Sus scrofa: one gene and its partner. The protein of the gene in region 2 purifies or fractionates together with the protein of the main gene of each other region. This does not show direct contact. Links are inferred from orthologs where the notes say so. Each region holds a gene or a part of one and is shown on either strand. Other genes may lie near its edges.

Region 1 (10,511 bases), on a different chromosome or scaffold from region 2:
TCTTTATAATTTCCTTCCTTCTGCTGACTTTAGGACTTTTTTGTTCTTCTTTTTCTAATTCGTTTAGGTGGAGGGTTAAGTTGTCAATTTGGGATCTTTCTTCTTTTTTGAGAAAGGCCTGGATTGCTATAAATTTCCCTCTGAGCACTGCTTTCGCAGCATCCCATAGATTTTGAGAGGTTGTGTCTTCATTATCATTTGTTTCAAGGTAGTTTTTAATTTCCTTCTTGATTTTCTCATTGACCCATTGGTTTTTTAATAGCATGTTGTTTAGTCTCCATGGAGTAGGTTTTTTCTCTTTGCTTTTCCCATGGTTGATTTCTAATTTCATGGCATTGTGGTCAGAGAAGACACTTGAGATAATTTCTACGCTCCTAAATTTATTGAGATTCGCTTTGTGTCCCAATATGTGGTCGATTCTTGAGAATGTTCCATGAGCATTTGAGAAGAATGTGTATTCTGCTTTTTTTGGATGTAGTGTCCTGAAGATATCAATTAGGTCTAACTTTTCTATTGTTTCCTTTAGGATCTCTGTTGCTTTATTGGTTTTCTGTCTAGAGGATCTGTCCATTGATGTGAGGGGGGTATTTAGGTCTCCTACTGTGATTGTATTCTCATCAATATCTCCCTTTATGTCTGTTAATATTTGTTGTGTGTATCTGGGTGCTCCTGTATTTGGGGCATATATGTTGACAATAGTAACATCCTCTCCTTGGATGGATCCCTTAATCATTAAATAGTGTCCTTCTTTGTCTTTCTTTATGCCTTTTGTTTTAAAGTCTATTTTGTCTGATATGAGCGTTGCGACTCCTGCTTTTCTGTCATGTCTATTGGCGTGAAATATTTTTCCCCACCCTTTCACTTTCAATCTATATGTATCTTTTGTCCTAAGGTGAGTTTCTTGTAGGCAGCATATTGAAGGTTTTTGCCTTTTTATCCACTCAGCCACTCTGTGTCTTTTGATTGGGGCATTCAGTCCATTGACATTTAAGGTGATAATTGATAGATGATTATTTATTGCCATTTGAACCTCGTGTTCCAGTTGATTCTATGGTTCTCCATTTTTTTTTTTTTTTTTTGGTTGGATGGTCTCCTGTTATTATCTGCTTGAGTGGTTTTTTTTTTCATTTTTTGCAAATGCAATATTTGGTTTTGGCTTGTGATTGCCCTGTTTTTTAAGTATGCTAACCCCTTCCCATAAATGTGTGTTTTAGCCTGATGGTCCTGTAAGTTCAAACACTTCATTACTATATTAAAATTAAGAAGAGAGACATACATATAAACAAAAAGGGTTATTTACCTCCTGACATCCCTTGCCCACATTTTATGGTTTTGATGACTCTTTTTTATTTTTTTCTTTTTAATTTTATTTTGTTTGAAGCATGTTCATGATTAAATCTGTATGCTGGCTTATTTGAGTGACTGCTCTCTGATTGCAGTTTCCTCAGTCCTAGTTCTTCCTCTTCTTCTTCTTCTTTTTTTTTTTTTTCTTTTCTTTTTCTTCCCTTTCCTTCCTTTCTTTTTGGTTTAGAGAAGCCCTTTCAATATTTCCTTTAACCTGGGTTTTGTGTTGCTGTATTCTTTAAGTTTTTGTTTGTTGGGAAAAATTTTTATTTCCCCTTCTATTTTAAATGATATTCTTGCTGGATAGAGTATTCTAGGTTGCATATTTTTTCCTTTGAGCACTTTAAATATCTCTTGCCATTCCCTCCTGGCCTGTAGTGTTTCTGTAGAGAAATCAGCTGATATTCTTATGGGGGTTCCCTTGTAGGTAACATTCTGTTTTTCTCTTGCTGCCTTGAGGATCCTCTCTTTATCACTAACTTTTGCCATTTTTATTATGATGTGTCTTGGTGTGGGTCTGTTTGGGTTCAGTTTGTTTGGGGCCCTCTGTGCTTCTTGTATCTTGAATCCAGTATCCTTTAGATTTGGGAAGTTTCCAGCAATAATTTCTTCAAATATATTTTCCATTCCCTTATCTTTTTCTACTCCTTCTGGAATTCCTATTATGCGTAGATTGGCCCGCTTTATATTATCCCATAGGTCTCTTATATTGCTTTCCAGTTTTTTGATTCGGTTTTCTGTCTGTTGACCAGATTGAGTGATTTCCATTATTCTATCTTCCATATCACTGATTCGTTCTTCTGCATTATTCATTCTGGTTTTTACTGCCCCTAGTTCAGTTTGCATCTCTGCAAATGAATGTTCTAGTTTTTCTTGGCTCCTCCTTATCTTTTCTAGTTCCTTTCTGAGGGTATCTGCATTACCGTTCATATCTTCTCTTAATTCCTTCAGTATTTTCAGTATTTCTCTTTTGAACTCCAGGTCTGTCAGACTGCCGAGATCTGTTTCATTGTTGACTGTTTTAGGTGAGTTCTCCTGTTGGTTTGACTGGGAGTGGTTTCTCAGCTTCTTCATCTTGCTTGTTGTTTTCTTTCTCCTGAGGGAGTTGTACTCTCCGTGATCGGGCAGTGTTTGCCTTGTCACTGCCGTGGAATATTTCCTGAGGGCTGGCGTTGTTGGTCAATCTTTTTTGAGGCAGTGTGGCTTTTCTGGAGTGTTGATGGGGCTAACAGTGTTTCTTTGAAGCAAAGGAGGACTTCCTGAGGGCAGACAGGACTGAGAGGTCCACACCGCGATGGTAGCAGATTTCACTTGGCCATGCAGAGCTTGCTCTGGTGTTTTTAGGCTGTGGGGTTCTTGCAGGGGGTTGGCGGTGTTGGGCAGCTGCTTTTTAGGGGTGCATTACCCCCTGGGGGCTGGAGCAGCTATCTGGGGCACTGAGAACCTGAGAGGCTCTTCCCTAGGGCAGCCCAACTCAGAAGGACAGCCTGAGAATGTAGGCGGATCTTTTTACAGTCTGGCTGAGCTTGTTGCAGCTTTTCTGGGCTGCAGGGGGTCCTGCCTGGAGCTGGCAGCCCTATGCAGCTGGTCCACTAGAGCATCCCCTGGGGGCTTGGGCGGGTAGCAGGGCCTTTGGAAACCGAAGAGGCTCCTCCCCGGGGCAACCCGACTCAGAAAAACCGTCCGAGAATTAGGCCGATCTATTCACAGCCTGGCTAAGCTTGTTCTAGCTTTTCTAGGCTGCAGGCCTTTTCTCGGGGGCTGGTGCTGTTTGGTGCTGCTCTGCGGAAGTGTAGCCCCTCCAAAGGGCAAGCAGGCCTGTGCAGGGACAGCCCCTGCGGTGGTAGGCTTCAGGCAATTGTTGAGGCCAGCCCTCCTGGATGGCAGGCAGTCCCAGGTCCGTGAGAGCGTAGGGCGTGGCGGGGGTGGGGGGAGGGGATGCACTGGGAAGCAGAGTTTTCAGCTAGCTAGCTGGCCTGTAAGCTTGCTGTGGCGTGGGGGGTATTCTATGGGGACCCACCCCTTCTTCCCTCCCCTCCCCAGCACGGGCGCAGACCAGGCTCTTCTCCCAGGTTCCCTCTGATGTGGCTTTCCCCTTCCCCACTCCTGGAGTATTGCTCCCTTCCTCTGCGACAGCTTTGTTTTCTAGTCTCCCAGGCAGTCTCTGCCCCGTCAACTGGTTTCTAGACCTCCCAAGCATTTTCCGCTCTGCCCCGCCCCCCTATCCCGGGGACTAATCTCTGGAGCCGAGGTCTCGGTGCCCAGCCCCCACCCAGGCGTCCCCCGGCTCCCTCTCGGGGACTAACCTTCGGGGGCGAGGTCTCGGTGCCCAGCCCCCCTCCCAGGCGTCCCCCGGCCCTTTCTCAGGGATTAACCTTTGGCGGCGAGGTCTCGGTGCCCAGCCCCCACCCAGGCGTCCCCCGGCCCCCTCTCGGGGACTAACCTTCAGAGGCGAGGTCTCAGTGCCCAGCCCCCACCCAGGCGTCTCAATTTTTGGTGACTCTGCCCGTAGTTCAGATGGTCCGTTGGGTTCTTGATCGGCTTTTCCGTACTCCAACTTACTGCTACACTCTTCTCTGCATCTGGAGATTCCTCCGGTTCGTTTGATCTTTCGCCCGGTAGGTGACTTTCCAGGGTGCGGGATCCCTTTCTCCTCCGCAGTTCCCTTTCGGGAGCCTTCCCTCGCTCGGATTCGCCTTCTCTCACTCTCCTCTTTTCTCCTGTTCTGCCCAATAATGTCACGAGTTTCTTGCCGTTATTGGAGTTTAGGTTCCTCTGCCAGCGATTGTTTGCTGTTCTGTGCGAGTCATTTATTCTGTAGATGTGCTTTTTTTGTTGTGTTTGTGGGAGAGGGCGAGCGTGTCTTCCTACTCCTCCGCCATCTTGTCCTCTCTCCCAGTCTTTTTGCTATTTCTTGGGCCGCTCCCGCGGCATATGGAGGTTCCCAGGCTAGGGGTCGAATCGGAGCTGTAGCCACCGGCCTCCACCACAGCCGCAGCAACGCAGGATCCGAGCCACGTCTGCAACCTACACCACAGCTCACGGCAACGCTGGATCGTTAACCCACTGAGCAAGGGCAGGGACCGAACCTGCAACTTCATGGTTCCTAGTCGGATTCATCAACCACTGCGCCACGACAGGAACTCCTAACAAGTTATATTTGATAATTTCTCCACGTATTTATCTGGAAAAATAGCTGACTAAGGAGTATTCAAGTCAGCCTTTATTATTCACTTTTAGCCCAACCCTCCAAGTAGGATGGACTCCAGTCTTCTCCCTACTTTTGACCTTCCTGTTTCTCTGTCTTTAACAAGTTTTAACAATAGCTAGTTTAACAAATTTTAAAAAGAGCTAATTCACCAAATAAATGAACATTAAAAGCATAATGTGTGGAGTTCCCATCTTGGCGCAGTGGAAACGAATCTGACTGGTATCCAAGAGGATGATCCCTGGCCTCGCTCAGTGGGTTAAGGATCCCGAGTTGCTGTGAACTGTGGTATAGGTTGCAGATGAGGCTTGAATCTGGCGTTGCTGTGTCTGTGGCGTAGGCCAGCAACTACAGCTCCAATTTGATGCCTAACCTGGGAACCCCCATATGCCATATGTGGAACCTTAAAAAAAAGACCAATAAGTCAATAAATAAAAGCATAACATTTTTAAAACAAACTTTGTAGAACTTTTTGTTTTTGCATAGTTCTTTACAAATATTAGCTGTTGTGGTTATTTTTGCACTGTCAAGGTTCTTTTTGAAAAGTCAAGAAAAGAATTCCCAATGTGCTCAGCTGGTTAAGAGTCCAGTGTTGTCTATATGAGGAGGCAGGTTTGATCCCTGGCCTTGCTCAGTGGATTAGGGATCCATTGTTGCTGCAAGCCATGGGGTAGGTCACAGATGCAGCTAAGATCTGGTGTGGCTGTGGCATAGGCCAGCAGCTGCAGCTCTGTTTTGACCCCTAGCCTGAGACCTTCCATATGCCAGAGGTGTGGCCATAAAAAGAAGGGGGAAAAAAGCTAAATTCATATAATTTAGGTTTTATATATATATATATATATGCTAAACTTTAGTATGGATATTTCTTTAATCTGAGTAATTCTTTAGATGCATTTAATATCTGTAAATGTAATATAAATTGCTTGTGTTTTTGTGAAGGCAGTGGAACTTGCTGGAAATTATGACGGAGAAAGCAATGATGAGCTCAGAAATGGAAAAATGAAGGCATTTCTCTCTTTAGCACGGTTCTCAGATACTCAGTACCAAAGAATTGAAAACTACATGAAATCATCAGAATTTGAAAACAAGCAGGCTCTTCTGAAAAGAGCCAAAGAGGAAGTGGGCCTTCTTAGGGAACATAAAATTCAAACCAACAGGTAATAAGGGATCTGCAAGTGACAAGATACACAGAAATACAGCAACTCTGTATACACGCAGAGATACAGAACCAGATAGGAATTCATGCTGTGGTTCTAAGCTGATTGTAGTATATTGATAATTAGCTTTTTGTTTTTCTCTTTTAGTTTTTTTCTATCTACATAGTTGAAAAAGAGGTAGGGTGAAATTAAATGGGGAAGAAGTACCTATTTTGATGTAATTTAATCCTTTATTTACACCTGCCTTTGGTCTATATATTTTAGTGCAGGTAGAGAATAAAGCTAATGAAGTACCGTGGGTAGAGTCTGCTTTGTCCTTGGTTGCTTAGGATACTTTTGAAGTGTACAGACTTAAAGACAAAAGTTTAAGATTTTTACCTCTATAATTCTTAGAATTTTGCTTTTTCTCCTGGCATGGACACTTGATTTTTCATTTTTGTTTTATATTTCATATAAAATCTGATGACTCTTGTGTTTTACTTTAATCATCCAATGTAAGATACACAATAAAGGTTCAGCGAGAGCTGGAGCTGGATGAAGGTGCTCTCCGTGCATTAAAAAAGGATCGTAAACGTTTCTTATGTAAAGCAGTTGAAAATTACATCAATTGCTTATTAAGTGGAGAAGGGCATGATATGTGGATATTCCGTCTTTGTTCCCTCTGGCTTGAAAATTCTGGAGTTTCTGAAGTCAATGGCATGATGAAGGCAAGTTTTCTTTTTCAACCCAATATTCTACTCTGTGCTTTAAAAGTTTAGACATAAGCCCCTCAATGTCATGTATTTTGTATAATTTGTATCCTTGACACATGGTTCAGAGCTCTACACAAGGTGTTTGATCAGCTCTTAATGATAAGGATTTATGGGGAGTTCCTGTTGTGGCTCTGTAGTTATGAACCCAATTAGTATCCATGAAGATGTGGGTTTAATCCCTGGGCTTGCTCAGTGGATTAAGGATCTGGCATGCCACAAGGTGAGGTGTAGATCGCAGATGTGGCTTGGATCTTGCGTTGCTGTGGCTGTGGTGTAGGCCAGCAGCTGCAGCTCCGATTGGACCCCTAGCCTGGGAACTTTCTTTTCCTCTGTCTTTGCAATTATCATAGGAAAGTACCCCAAATGGGAGATTGGAAAAGCAATTGAAAATGATGTGATTATTCTTTTCTGTTTTGTTTGTTTGTTTTTACAGTAAATTACTTAAAAAAGATTTTAAGAAAGCATTAAAGTAGCAGCATTTTGTAAATTTTTATTTAAAAATCTTAGATTTTATTGATGACACCTAATATTAAAGATATGTTGACAAGATATATATAGGCAATCAGTTTGAAACTTCAAAAGTAAAATGGTCTTCTGGCTGAGAAAAATGATAAGATTCATCATAGATACAACCAATCTAGTGTACATTAGATCTTATTACTTTTAGCATGTAGGAAAAAATAGTTATTCCGTCTTACTCATGCTGACCTCTCAGGAGTTCAGATCACAATCATCCTCAGATCCTCATTTGTCCCCCTTGGATTCACTGGAATATAAGCAGTGCCAAGTATTGCAGTTCTGAATACACTTTAATTTAGATTCAAATATTATGACTTAGTAATGAATCAATCTAGAATAACCACCAGAAAGACTTTAAAGTAAATGATGAGGAAAAAGGTGTGGTTAGTGAAGTTTTACTAACACCCTCTAGATGACTGCACCAGTAGAGGAGCTTTATCTTAGAGTAATTTATTTACTTAGATGTGATACTATTTGAAATGCATTGCTTTTTAATTTTGTATTTTTTTTTTTTAATGGCAGAGAGATGGAATGAAGATCCCATCATATAAGTTTTTGCCCCTCATGTACCAGTTGGCTGCTAGAATGGGGACCAAGATGATGGGAGGCCTAGGATTTCACGACGTCCTCAATAGTGTAAGTAAATGTGACCTTCTCGGCGCAATTGCTGTCCTTTTTTGTTATTATATGCTACTGCTCCACTTTAGGACGTGGCATCCAGGACGGTTTCGATCAGCCTATTTATTATGTTAAATAAGGGCGAGAATAAAGATTTCCTTGTGTCTCCTCATACTCCACATTAGTTAGTTTCTCCCTTTCTAATTCTTCATGTCCCTTTGTCTCTTGTCTGTCTTACACACACACATACCACTCACTGCAGCATCTAGGACAGTAACACCTATCTTAATGTTCAGCCAAATTTGAAAGTTTATGGATTTTCTTTTTTTGTTTGTTTGTTTCCATATAACTAACAGTTCTTAATTTTATTACAGCTCATCTCTAGAATTTCAGTGGATCACCCTCATCATACTTTGTTTATAATATTGGCCTTAGCAAATGCAAACAAAGATGAATTTTTGACCAAACCAGAGGCAGCAAGAAGTAGTAGAATAACTAAAAATACACCTAAAGAAAGCTCTCAGCTTGATGAGGTATTTAGATTGAACATGTATACCTTTTTGAATTGTGATATTTATTTTTTCCCAAAATATTCCTTTCTTAAGTCTCAGGGATTCTAAAAGTATGTTGTTGACAAACATTGAGTTTGCAAATCCTTTGTTATTAAAATGGCACCTAAAATTGGTTTAAAAATCTTGAGTATTTCTCAAAGCATAGGAGATATCAATAGTATTTTGCCCTTTTTCCTCACATCAGTGAGCTAAGAAAATACTGATTGTACAAGGCATCCAAGGCATTTACTCTTGAGGTTATTATAACTTTGATGTGCTGCATTCATAATAAGGTGACTGTTTTGTTTGTATCTGAGGGATTATAATCTTTCCATTGTCTAGATATGTGTATAAATTGTTTTTCCTTTTTTTATTATAACTCTGAAACGTTTGAGTTATATTTGCTTATGTACTATATTTTGTTTGTTTTTATTAATAGGATCGAACTGAGGCTGCAAACAAAGTAATATGTACTCTCAGAAACAGGAGACGTCAGATGGTCAGAAGTGTTGAAGCACTCTGTGATGCTTACATTATATTAGCAAACTTAGATGCCACTCAGTGGAGGACTCAGAGAAGTATGCGATTTGAAAGAAGGAGCATTGCTTTCTTGCGGTGTTATTCTCTGTAGGGATATATTAATTACAGAGCCTAATGATGTAAATCTGTTCACCTCACACACACTAATTATAGATATGACAGAATTGATGATTACAACTCACAGATGATCCAACTCACAGAAAAACCTTTTTTTTAATCTAATAGCTTCAACGCCCTCCAGTCAGTTTTTCACTTAATATCTTTTATTAGAACTGGTAACAGGTGACTGCATGCTAGGGCTTAAAAATGGAAAGGCCTTACCTTTTTCTCCATCACTCTGCTTCCTGGTCTCTTTAAATAATTATAAGCAGCTGTAGTATTTGGCTGTATATTTCTCTCCCCATATTTTATTTTTAAATTTTATTTATTTTATTTTTATTTTTTGCTTTTTAGGGCTACACCCACAGCATATGGAGGTTCCCAGGCTAGGGGTTAAATCAGAGCCGTAGCTGCTGGCCTACACCACAACCATAGCAACTCCTATACCACAGCTCATGGCGACACCAGATCCTTAACCCACTGAGTGAGGCCAGGGATCGAACCTGCAAACCTCATGGTTCCTAGTCAGATTTGTTTCCCCTGCGCCACGACGGGGACTTCCTCTCCCCATATTTTAGTAATTATAATATTTTTTCTGTTTGGAATCATCTTCACATTTAAATTCTTTTTTTTTTTTTTCTCTTTTTAGGGCCACTCCTGTGGCATATGGAAGTTCCCGGGCTAGGAGTTGAATCAGAGCTGCAGCTGCTGGCCTGTGTCACACCAACGCAAGATCCATGCTGTGTCTGTGACCTACAACCACATCTCATGGCAACACCAGATCGTTAATCCATTGAGTGACTCCAGGGATCAAATCCATATCCTCATGGATACTATGCGGGTTTGTTACCACTGAACCACAACGGACACCCCTCTATCTTCACATTTAAATTCTTATTATTTTAAAGTAAGAATGAGACTTCTCATTGTGTTCCTCTTAGCAAACAAAGAATATTGTCATGTCCTTTAGTGAAATTTAATAGTAATATGACAGGAGTACATAATCTATGTGCTATTCACACTGTTACATAATTATCTTACGTTGCTTAACTTAGCCCCTCAGGTGGAATCTGGTCTAACTAGCAGTGCCAGGACCTGCAAATTCATTTGTAAGCCGTGTTAACCACTGCTATCCTCTGACCCTGAGTGACATTGTGTCCTGAGCCCTAGGTCTTCATTTCTAAATCAGGGCCTGAAACACAGATTAGCCATAGGTTGGGGTTTAGGGTATCTGCTGAGTTCTGCTTTACCTTCAGTGTTGTTCCTCAGTTTGCAGTTGTCACTGAAACCTCTTTATTTTAAATACAGAAGGCATAAGGATTCCAGCAGACCAGCCTATTACTAAACTTAAAAATTTAGAAGATGTTGTTGTCCCTACTATGGAAATTAAGGTAATTAACCATTAACTATTTCGATTTTTAATTAAAGTCAGTTCCTCTTTAGTAGGTTACACCATTTGCAATAGCCTTTTGTAGGGTCAAAATTGCTTAAATATTGGCAGTTTCATTTGTTTCAACCTATACTTTTTTTTCTTTATTAGATTCCCTTTATCCAAGCCTTAAAATACTTAAAAATGTTTAAAGATCTCTCAGTTTTCTTTTGCCTTCCTTTTTTTTGTTTGTTTTTTGTTGTTTTTTTTTTTTTTTATGGCCTCACTTGTGGCATATGGCAATTCCCAGGCCAGGGGTTGAATCAGAGCTGCAGCCACTGGCCTTACACCAAA
Region 2 (11,061 bases):
CAAAAAAAAAACATAAAAAATATATTTTAAAAGTCAACTCCATTAAAAATCGGGAAAAGCATAAGGACGGTCTAGACTAAAGAAGACTCAAAGGGCATGCAAGTGGCACACAGGACCCCGGCCCCGAGGCTTTGAACACGTGGGCCAGAGGGTAGATCTGAACGCGGGCAGGCAAAGGCCGCCGCAGCCGGCACTCACTTCTCCTCCGAGGCGGCCTGGCGCTCCATGCGCAGGGCGGCCTCCATGCTCTGGCTCTGCAGGCGCAGCTGGTCCACCTGCACGCTGTGCTGCTGCTGCAGGGCCTCCCGCTCGTTCTCCAGCTGCCGGACCTGCTCGCTAGTGGCGCGAACCCTGGTGGCAGGAAGGGGAGGTCACCGGAGGGCCCCAGCAGGAGCAAAAGTGCTCGAGGAACCCTGCAGCACCAAGAAAGACTGCAGCAGAAGGCACTGGGGCCAGGGGTGAAGGAGGGGGTCCCAGGGGAAAGAAGCCCCAGGGACCTGCCCGTGGGGTTCCGAGAGGTGGGTGCTGGGGGCCATGGCCAGAGCAATCTCAGTGGAGGAAAGGAAGTAGAGCCAGTCAGCAAAGACAGCCTTTCTAGAAGGTGGGGCGGGCGCAGGTGAGAAGTGAGGTGAGGCGGGGGTGGGGGGTGGAAAGTGGGGTCAGTGGCTCCACGGCTCCCCCACCCCGCCCGCCACCACCGCTCTAACAGTGGCAAGGAGGTGGCTGGCTGGCCCATCTGGAGTCCCAAACGTCTACATCTGCGAGATCCTCCCACCTGCCTGCCCGGGAGAAGATCCTGGATCCATCCACACTCAAGCTGTGACAGCTCGGCTCTCCTCACCCGGGTCCCCCAAGGGGCCTGACCCTCTGATGGGGGCCCGTCACCCCACGGCCCCGCCTCGCATCTCCACACTCATGTCTGCTCACAGCTCCCTCCATCCCCAGCTCCAGGCTGCAGCCACGTCATCCTGTGTCCCGGGGGCGACAGTGGCTGTTCTGAGTGGGGGGCGGCTCCTGGCCCTCTCCTCTGGTCTCATCTCCACACCTGGCCAGCTATATCCAACTCAGATGTCCATCTGTGACCCGACAAAACTTAGCTGCCGGCATTGTCATCGCCAGACGGAAGTGCTGTCTGCCAGGGGCCCGAGAACAAGGAGGACAGCCGTTCTGATGTGACAGGCCTGGCGCTCAAAGGGCCGCCACATGTACGAAGTCTGGATCTGTTTAAATGGCCACACCGAGCGATGGGAGACGCAAGCAGGCTCCCTGCCCTGAGCTGCCAGCCAGCATTTCCATCTCAGCCACGTGGGGGGACAAGAGAGGAAGATGCCCAGAGCCTGCAACTGCGGGGTCATTAACTGAGCAGAGTCAGCCACAAAACTGCAGACAGCGTCACGCCTCCAGCAGTCTCTTTTATGTGCACAGAAAAAAGGCAAGAAACACGTGGCAGTGTCCTAGAAATGACACACGTGCCTCTTAGAGAAGTGGGGGTAGAGACGAGCCCGGCGGGGAACCGGGAAGGCGACCAGGCCAGCGGGCTCGGCCCTGCCACACACACGCCCTCGCCGCCTGCTTTCTAGAGGGAGGCTCCCCGCTCGCTCTGAGGATGGCGGGGCGTCTAAACGCCGCGCTGGGAAACGCCTCGGGCCTCCGGGCGCAGCGCCCAGCGCACCGGGAGAGCTGCGGCCAGCCCTGCCGCCTGGACCCGTCTCCCTGGACGGCAGCCACCGGGCAGCGTGAGAACCACAGAGACGCCCGTGCCCTTTGACCCGGTGAGCACAGCTACAGGAAGCAGCCTCTGCAGAAGAGAGGGGCCAGCAGGGCTGGTGTGAGTCCCCTACGCTGCCAGGACACTCGCCCTCCAGATGAGGGAGGTCCCCATGCCTAGACCGTGGGCACAACACGGTGGCCTATGGGGAGCACCTGCTTTCCTCCAGGAGTCAGGAGGCTTGGCGTGTGCTGGGCCATGACCAGCCCTCCATCAAACTCAGGGCGCTGAGTCTCCAGTGGCGCCCCAGGCCTCCAGGGAGGCCCAAGTCGCCGCCAGAGAAGGGAGGAAAGGAGGAGGGGGCCAGAGGCAGGGGGTGCTCCGCCCCCGCCCTGGGCCTTCCGTCCTCGGGGGTCCTGGGCCGGGAGGGCACTGTGATCACGTGGACTCGTCCCCCCCACCCCGCAAACGGCCCCTCGGGAATCATCCAAAACTCTGGCAAAAAGTCAGCGGCCTCGGGCAGGGCTCTCCCTCCACGCTCACCTGCTCTCCAGAGCCTGCCGCTCCTTGGTGGCGGCCTCCAAGCGACTCTGGCTCTCCTGCAGCTCCCCCAGCAAGGACGTCACCTGGGCTTTCACTGAGGCCTTGTCCTCTGCCATCTGCTGCACGAGAAGAAGCCACGCCACGTCAGCACTGAGACCGGCCACCCCCGGGGCTCCTCTCCTGCCCCCGGCACCCCGACTCATCTCCCTCTCATCTCTCGAAGCTTCTCCCCCAGCAAGGCCACTGAGGATGGGGCCAGAGGAGCACAGAGCTGCCCATGCGGGCTGAGCCCAGCAGGAGTCTCCCCACCTTGCTGAGACTCAAACATGTGACAGAAACCTGCGCGCTCCCCGGGCCCCAGGCCACTAGCAGGTAAGAGGGAGTGACGCTGTTCCCACAAGTCCTGCACCTGCCCCAAAACTCAAGAGTTCTCCAACTCCCCACCGCCCAGACGCCCTCCCAAGGCTGTGCAAACCCTGGGCCCGAGACCTCAGGCTGCTCAGGCCCAGGGTCAAGCCTCAGGCCCCCACCCCTACACGCAGCGCCACCCACCCCGCCCGCCACTCATCCCCCTCCTTTTCACGCCCATCTGCGTGCACCTGAGGATGATCGGGTCGGTCTCAAGGTTTCCACTGCCCTGGACAGGCCAACGGCTTCCAAACCCTGAACCCCCACTGAGCCAGCCAACGGCCTGCCGATCGCCCTGACGCCCGTCCGCAGGCCCTGCTGGCTAAGGCGCCCACTGCCACCACCCCCGCCCGCCCTGGTCAGAGCCCCGAGGATAACGGCTTCTCTCGACTCTGTGCGGCCGCCCGAGGGTGCTCCTGGGGACCCCCGGGGGAGAGGGCAGGCGGCCGGCGCCCCGCTACCTGCTGGCAGGTCTTCAGGAGCTCCACCTCCTGCAGGGCCTGCTCCCTCTGCCTGCGCAGCTCCAGCTTCTCGAGGCTCAGCCTCTCGACCAGGCGCCTGGCCTCGCAGAACTTCTGCATGAGAAACTCCTTCTCCTCCCGCTGGCTGCCCTGGAAACGCTGCAGCTCCTCACAGCGCTCCCGCAGCATCTGGTTGCTCTGCCGGATGGCATCTGGCGGCAGAGGAGACGCAGAGGGAGGTGAGGGCGCCGGCCTCTCCCAGGCAGCGCACTTTCAAAAGCAGTGGTGCCCATCACGTGCCCATGCTTTTCCAATCAAACATTAAACACATCAGGTGCACTGAGAGCTCTGGGTCCGATGCCACCTTTTTTGTAAGTGACGCTGGAACTCGTCTATGTTCTGCTCGGGTGGGAGGCAGGCCTACCCTAGGGCACCCGGTCACTGCCTCCAGGATCAGGGGGCCGGCCACACAGGGCAAACGTCCCTGTGGCCCTGCTGCCGCAGACTGGGGGCCGGAAGCCTTGGAGCCAGCCGGCCGGTCACCGAAGCCCCACCATCCTCATCGACATGTCCCAACGGGGACGATGACACCCATCTCACGGGACAAGGAAGGTCACACAAACAAGCAGCCAAGAGCCGGCACACAAGACCAACTCGGGGACCAGTCGGTCGTCCTCTCCCCACACACCCAGCGGACACCCCAGGCGGCAGAAGGCCATCGTGAGCGACAAAACTCATCAGCGGCACGCAGAGGTTCTAGCAAGCACAGAGCCAGATGACACGGGGCAGGCAGTGGCTTCATGTCACCCTCTGGTCAAAACACGTGACCAGCTAACTGGTGCCTGCTACTGGAACATTCTTTCACTAGAACTTCAGCAAGTTATTTTCTCTCCCCTCCTTTTCTTGGCTGCACTTGCAGCATGTGGAAGTTCCCAGGCCAGGGGTTGAACCCGTGCCACAGCAGCGACCAGAGCCACAGCAGTGACAACACCAGATCCTTAACCCACCGAGCCACCAGGGAACTCCTACGGCAAATTCTGAGCCCCACTCCAAAGCCACCTTCTGGACTCCACGGTCCCCACATGACTCCTCCTGTGCAGCTGACCAACAAGCCTTGGACAAGGCCTCTTGCCGAAGGCAGATGGTCCCCCCCAACGGCCACCTGCCAAGCCTCCGTCCGAGGTTCACCTCAGCTCCCACAAAACCTCTGTTTTGGGGGTTTTTTTAAAGATCTTTTTTTGGGCCGCACTCACGGCATGTGAAGTCCCTGGGCCAGGAAGCAAACCTGCACCACAGCAGCGACCTGAGCCACTGCAGTGGCAACACTGGATCCTTAACCTGCTGCACCACAAGAAAACCCACAACTTTTGTTTTTAATTGAGGTAAAATTCACGTAACAGCAAATTCACCATTTTAACTATTTTAAAATACACAATCAGGAGTTTCCGTTGTGGCTCAGCGGAAAAGAATCTGACTAGCATCCATGAGGACGCAGGTTTGATCCCTGGCATTGGTCAGTGGGTTAAGGATCCGGCGTTGCCCATGAGCTGTGGTGTAGGTCACAGATGAGGCTCAGATCCCGCATTGCTGTGGCTGTGACGTAGGCTGGCAGCTGCAGCTCCAATTTGACCCCTAGCCTGGGAACCTCCATATGCCCCCAATGAGGCCCTAAAAAAAGACAAAAAAAATACACAGTCATTCAGTGGCTTTAATGTATTCATATAGTTGTGCACCCGCCCCTCCCTCTAGTTCCAGTGCATTCCCATCACCCCCAAAAGAAACCTCCCACCCACAAGAGTGTCACTGAATGAGAGGCTAGGGGTGCCCCCCCCGGATGCCCCAGGCTACTGCACCAAAGGGGCAGCTTGCCAGCAGCGGAGGCCCAGGGCACAAACCCGAGGAGGAGGGGGCGCTGTCCCACACGAGGGGGCCAAGAACGGGTCACACCTGAGGGGCACGGAGCCATGGCCCCTGGGACCCGAGAAGGTGACCCCGATACAGGGGAGGACGCGGAGGCTGGGTGAGTGGGGCTGGGACGGAGGCGGGGGGGTGGGGGGTGCCGAAAAGCCCTCGACCCCCCGCCCCCGGCAAGTGCTGCTGGAGCACAGCCCTCCGTCAGGTCCCCGGCGCCGCCTGGCCCCTCCTTCCCAAAGCCGCCCCCCGGCCCTTCCCAGGGAGGCCACGCCCGTTCCCAGCGCAGACCACACCCCCTTCCTGGAGCAGATCCCGCCCCCTTCCCAGGAGACCCGCGCCCCTCCCAGTAAGGCTGGTTCTGACTGACTGGTCAGTACATGAGTACGGAGACACCAGGGCCTGGCGGCGTCGGCCCAACCGGGACAACGCAGAAGGGCCATATTCCAGCTCAAGCCCCTTGCAGGGTGGGCCTCTCCCTGCACCCACCCCTGCTTCTTCGCTGCCCTGCCCTCCCCTCCCCATCTGCAGGGCTGGTCCCAGAGGACTCTGAATAAACCTCCTGCGTGCCTCCCTGGATCTCGGCGTCCACTTCCCGGAAACCCCACCTGGACCAGGGCGGGGGCGGCGGCTGGGACCAAATCACTAACCCGCCCGGGTGCACGCCGCCCCAGTCCCAGGAAGGCAGAGGTGCGGCAGGTGGGAGGCGCCGGCCCGGGATCTCGGGGCACAGGCCCGCTGCCGCCCTCACCTCGGAGCTCTTGATTCTCCTCCAGGCAGCGCTGGAAGGTCTCAGGAGCACCCTGCTCCGAAGGCAGGTGGAGCATGGTTGGCTTCCCCAGAGAGGACTCTTCACCCAGCACGTCCTGGTCCCCTGCCGGGCCGCCGCTAGGCTGCACCATCTCACACGGCTGACTCTTCCAGGGGGTCCTGCTCATCCAACAAGTCAGCGTCTGAAAGAGATGCCAGCAGAGGCATCGCGTGAGGAGACCCAGGCAGAACTCTCCTACCCTGCAGGACAGGGAGTGCCAGGGCCACGCTCGGCAGAAGGACAAGCACTTTGCCAAGTGGAAAAGGCGCTAAAAAGGGCTCTTTGGTCTACGAGTGGCTCACATTCCCCTCATGTGGGGCTCGCAAAGGTCACGGTTCAGCACCGGCCGTAAACGGCGCCTCAGGCTAGCTCCCGGCTGGACGCTGAAGCTGCCGATTTCACCACAGAGGAGAATCGACGGAGATGAGGTTGGGAGGCAGGGGTCGCTGTGCTGGAATGCCCACCCTCCCCACACCTCCAAGCAGTAAGATGGGTCCACTCCCTGGGCCCCGGAACCGGGACTGATTGGGAAAGGGGATTTGTTGGAGTTCCCATTGTGGCTCAGCTGGTTAAGAACCCAACTAGTATCCATAAGGATGCAGGTTCGATCCCTGGCCTCACACAGCGGGTTAAGGATCAGTATTGCCGTGAGCTGTGGTATAGGTCACAGACGCAGCTCAGATCCCGTGTCACTGTGGCTCTCACTCATGTGGGCTGGCAGCTGCAGCTCCAATGAGACCCCTAGCCTGGGAACTTCCATATACCTCAAGTGTAGCCCTAAAAAGCAAAAAAAAAAAAAAAAAAAAAAAAAAAAAAAGGGAAAGGGAAAAGGAAAGAAGGAAAAGGATGTAATACAAGTGAAGGATCTGAAATGAGGTCCTCCTGGATCAGGGGAGCCCTAAATCCAATGATGAGTGTCCTTCTAAGAGACACAAAAGGAGAGACAGACACAGAAGAAGCCACGTGAAGATGCAGAGACTGGAGTGATGCGGCCCCAGCCCAGAGATGCCTGGAGCCACCACAGGCTGGAAGAGGCAGGAAGGACCCTCCCCTGGCGCCCCCAGAGGGAACAGGGCCCTGCCACGCCCTGACTTCAGGCTCCTGGTTTCCAGAACGGAGAGAGGACAAATGCTGTTGTCTTAAGCCATCTGCCTTGGACTCTCTCACGGCAGCCTAGGAAATCAATGTACCTAGTGAGAAGGGCTTCACAGAGACCACTCAGAACCTGGTGGGCATTCCCTGGAGCTGAGCACCCGAAAGCGGGAGCTGGGCTTGCAGCCTAAGGTGGCAGGGCCGAGAGTCAGGCTGAGCTGTGTGCATCGTCCTGTGAACTAGAGGCGGGGGCAGGGGGGCGCTCTGCGGGACAGCACCCGCCCGGAGCCCTTTTAAATCCTGCCCAAGAAAACCGACTACATGGAGGAGGAAGCCGATCCCAAAAGAAGCTTCCAGGAGAGAGCCTGAGCTGCAGCTAGAGACGTTTAACACCAAACAAGCTGGGACGTTTCGCTGTTACACTGATACTTCTCTGAATAACCCCCTGACCCACCAGCACTATCTGACCAACCGCTGAGCCCTGAGTCCAGAACAGCCACCACTTCACTGGCTGCTCCTGCTCTGGCTCTTTCCGTGGACCATCCTCGCCACACTTTTCATGCTGTGATGCTCCGGGGCTCCTTTCTGGGATCTCATCTTTTCTCTAACTACAGCTACTCCAGCGCTAATTCCATCCAGACTCCCAGCTTTAACCCCCATGCATCAAACTCAGCATCTCAGGCTGGACATCTAATCCTCCTCTCAAAACTCACCTCTCCAGAACTGCACTGCTCACAGTCCCCAGAAGCCGGCTCCACCCACAGCCTCCCTTATTATTAGGTGACAGCACGTCCACCCTCCGGTCAGCAGGACACAACCTGGGAGTCCTTCTTGAGTCCTCTCTGGCCCTCAGGGCTCACGTCTAATCCATTGGGAAATCCCGTCAAAAGGTATCTTAGAATCTATTTGAGGACACTAAGCAATTAATGTTAACTTATTTTAGGTGTGATACTTGGTACTGTGGTTGTTTCTTTCAAAGTCCATTCTTAGAGATGCATCCTGAAACATTTACAGCGAAATTATAAGGTGCCTGGAATTTGGTTCAAGGTAATGGGGGACCTGCTCGGTATGTACCTGAGAAAAATGAAAACACAGGTCCACGTGAGACTGCTCTTAGCGGCCAAAGGGTGGAAATGACCTACATGTCCATCGACTGATGAATAAACACAATCTAGTACATTCCTACCCTACCATGTTAATAATATTGAGCAGGAGTGGCGCAGTGGTTAACGAATCCGACTAGGAACCATGAGGTTGCGGGTTCGATCCCTGCCCTTGCTCAGTGGGTTAACGATCCGGCGTTGCCCTGAGCTGTGGTGTAGGTTGCAGACACGGCTCAGATCCCACATTGCTGTGGCTCTGGTGTAGGCCGGCGGCTACAGCTCTGATTGGACCCCTAGCCTGGGAACCTCCATATGCCCGGGAGCGGTCCAAGAAATGGCAAAAAGACAAAAAAAAAAAAAAAAAAAAAAAAAAAAAAAAAAACACTGAGCAACACAGAGAAACAGCTCACAAGAAACCACATATTATGAGTCCATTTATGTGAACTATCCAGAATAGGCAAACATAGAGAGATGGAAAGACTAATAGATGCTTAGAACTGAAGTAGATAAGGTGATGGGTTGATGAAAATGTTCGAGAATGAATGGTGATGGTTGTGCAGGTGTGTGAATATACTGAAAAGCAGTGAATTGTTCACTTTCAATGGGTGAATTGTGTGGTATGTGAATTATATGTCAATAAAGCTATTTTTGAAAATAAGAGATTATGAGGGGTATAAATTAAGCAAAGGTAGCAACAGGTTGATAACTGTTGACGCTGGGAGGTGGGTACCTTGGGTTTATACTATCCTTTCTACTTTTGCACATCTTTGGTATTTTTCACAATAAAACGATCCGAGCCCCATCATCTCTCACCTGGATAACTGCAATAACCTCCTAGCAGATCACCTTGCTCCAACCCTTGCCCCCTACGTACAGTCTGTTCTACCCACCGCGCCAGAACAATCAGACCAAAAGGTAATTCCTACCACGTCTCTCCTCTATCCAGATCCCTACCATAGTTCCTCATGGCCCTCCGCCAAAAAGCCACAACCCGTACAACAAGATAGTAGGCCGTGCACTATCTGGTCCCCCATTGCTTCCTCTCTAACTATTCCCCCCTCGCTCACTCTATTCCAGGTATAGTGGCCTCCTTATGGCCCATTCATCCTCAAGTCACAGAACTGATATGAGGTCCGGCAGACATTAACCGTTGTGCAAAGTGAGCAAAATGAAGCGCATGAGGAAAGATGCTTAGCTGTCAAATTACCCTTGAGGCTTTTTTAAAGAACTTAACAACTTCAAATGTAGTCAAGTTCGATGAACAGAAAATGTCTCCGAAGTAGAATAGTCATCCACGAACTAGGGGTGTGGTCAGACTCCGCCGCGGCAGAGGAAGGAGAGGCGAAAACTGCCCCGCTCGTCGCCAGAGTAACCTGGGTCCTGAATTGGCCAGCCTCGGCGGGTGATCTAGAAGCGGGCGGCAGAACCGGGCCGGGGCCCAATAGGAGGGGAAAGCCTGGTCGTCCAGGGGGGGTCTCGGAGGTGGCGGAACGCCCACCAATAGTACCCTATCTTCGGAGAAGAGGACCACACCTGTCAGCAGAGTCGGTCCGACGTGAGAAGGGCGGGAGCGGCGGGTCCCGAGCGCTCCTCGGACCCCGGCGCTCGGAGAAAGTTCGGGTTCCGCGGTCGCCCTTCCCTTCTCGGGCTGCCAAATTCCCATTTCCTGCTTCCGGTGTCGTAGCTGTGGGATCCGGAAGTAAAACACTCACACTCCGCCCCCACCCCGCCCCCAGCAGGCCCGCGAGAGGCGCGAGGGAGACTTGTCCCCAGACGGAAGCCCGAGCGTACCAGGCTCGGCTGGCCCGTAGGACACTCTTCAATAATATGCGTCGCGACCCGCATTTCCCCTTGTCTCTCCGGCGGCGGCATCCAGCGAGCGGCAGGTCGGCTGCCCCGCCCCCACTAGGGGAGGAGCCACGACGAGGCTATCATGTGATAGGGCCAGTTTGATCGGAGTCGACGACCCGTCCAGTGAGGGGGCGAGGCTAAAGAGGGCCCCGCCTACAAGTGGGGTCGAGGGGCGTGACCACGCTGCCGGCGGAAGTGGAGCCCTTCTTGAGGGCGCAGGACAACCCCGGGCTGACGAGAAAGCCAGACTGTAGGGGCGGGGCCAGGCCAGGGATGGGAACGCGGGCGAGCTGTGGGGAGCTGCACACGGACTCGCGAAGCATCGGGGACACGGCGCAGCGGCGGCGAGGACAGCAGGGGGCCCGCAGCCCGGCGGCCGGCGCAGGTGCTCAAGGGGCGGAGCGGGTCAGGCCGGCAGGCCTCGCGCGGGAGCGGGGGGGGGGGGGTCCCACCGGCCCGAGATGCGCGCGCACCTGCCTCGCCCCGCCTCTCGGGGGAGGGGCACACGGAGGCCCCGCCCGCGCGCCTCGCCTGAGGCTGGTCAGCTCAGACCAGGTGCCCGCCCCCGCCAGTTAAATGGGCAGGCGGGGCGCAGCCCCAGGAAACTGCCGGGAACTCCGGGGCTGCGAGCGCGAAGGGCAGCAGCGGTGAAGCACAGGTAACTGAGTGGGCGAACGCTTTGATTTGCCACGCTTGGGAAGGGGGCAAAATCGAGAGGGTGTTAACTGATCTAACCGTCCCCTGCATACCCCCATTGGGCCCCTGAGGGGACCCCGAGAGGGGCGGGGATTGGCCGGGGTCTCCCAGCGGTGGTGGAGGAGGACTAGATCTACACTGTCAGCTGCTTGATCTAACTTGCTCCAGCTCATTGAGGAGCTTCCGCCTGAATCCTTGGTGAGATGGCCTTAGCAGGTGGTCCGATGTTCCAGCTTGGTGTTACTCCCCCAGAGCTGAGGCCCTCGTTGGAGTCCACTAATGCTTAGAGTAATGTTGTAATGTACACGCTGAAAGAAGGCTGTCTGGAGAGTATGACCAGAGCCAGCAGTTTCTCATCCCCCAACCATCCTGCTCGCAGCCATTCCCACCAAGTGGTTTCAGTAATCAGGCATCAGCTGGACGAGAGCCCAAAGGACTCCTCCAGAAAGGGGCCAGCCAGCTTCTCAGTGCTTTCCG

Evidence for each region.
Region 1: the proteins of IKBKG (region 2) and ATM purify together in Homo sapiens (affinity purification with western blotting; 7 studies listed by BioGRID and IntAct, with this or other methods). This does not show direct contact. The link is inferred for Sus scrofa from reciprocal best matches to the Homo sapiens genes IKBKG and ATM.

The regions. Positions count from the first base shown.
Region 1 is NC_010451.4:36,719,158-36,729,668, forward strand, and holds part of ATM (serine-protein kinase ATM), read left to right. Parts: intron 1-5,491; coding exon 5,492-5,709; intron 5,710-6,208; coding exon 6,209-6,416; intron 6,417-7,502; coding exon 7,503-7,616; intron 7,617-7,972; coding exon 7,973-8,131; intron 8,132-8,588; coding exon 8,589-8,727; intron 8,728-10,096; coding exon 10,097-10,179; intron 10,180-10,511.
Region 2 is NC_010461.5:125,039,788-125,050,848, reverse strand, and holds the start of IKBKG (NF-kappa-B essential modulator), read right to left. Parts: upstream 5,970-11,061; coding exon 5,783-5,969; intron 3,333-5,782; coding exon 3,121-3,332; intron 2,371-3,120; coding exon 2,252-2,370; intron 352-2,251; coding exon 199-351; intron 1-198. Other genes in the region: G6PD (glucose-6-phosphate 1-dehydrogenase), read left to right, coding at 10,162-10,273. UniProt on the Homo sapiens protein: Regulatory subunit of the IKK core complex which phosphorylates inhibitors of NF-kappa-B thus leading to the dissociation of the inhibitor/NF-kappa-B complex and ultimately the degradation of the inhibitor.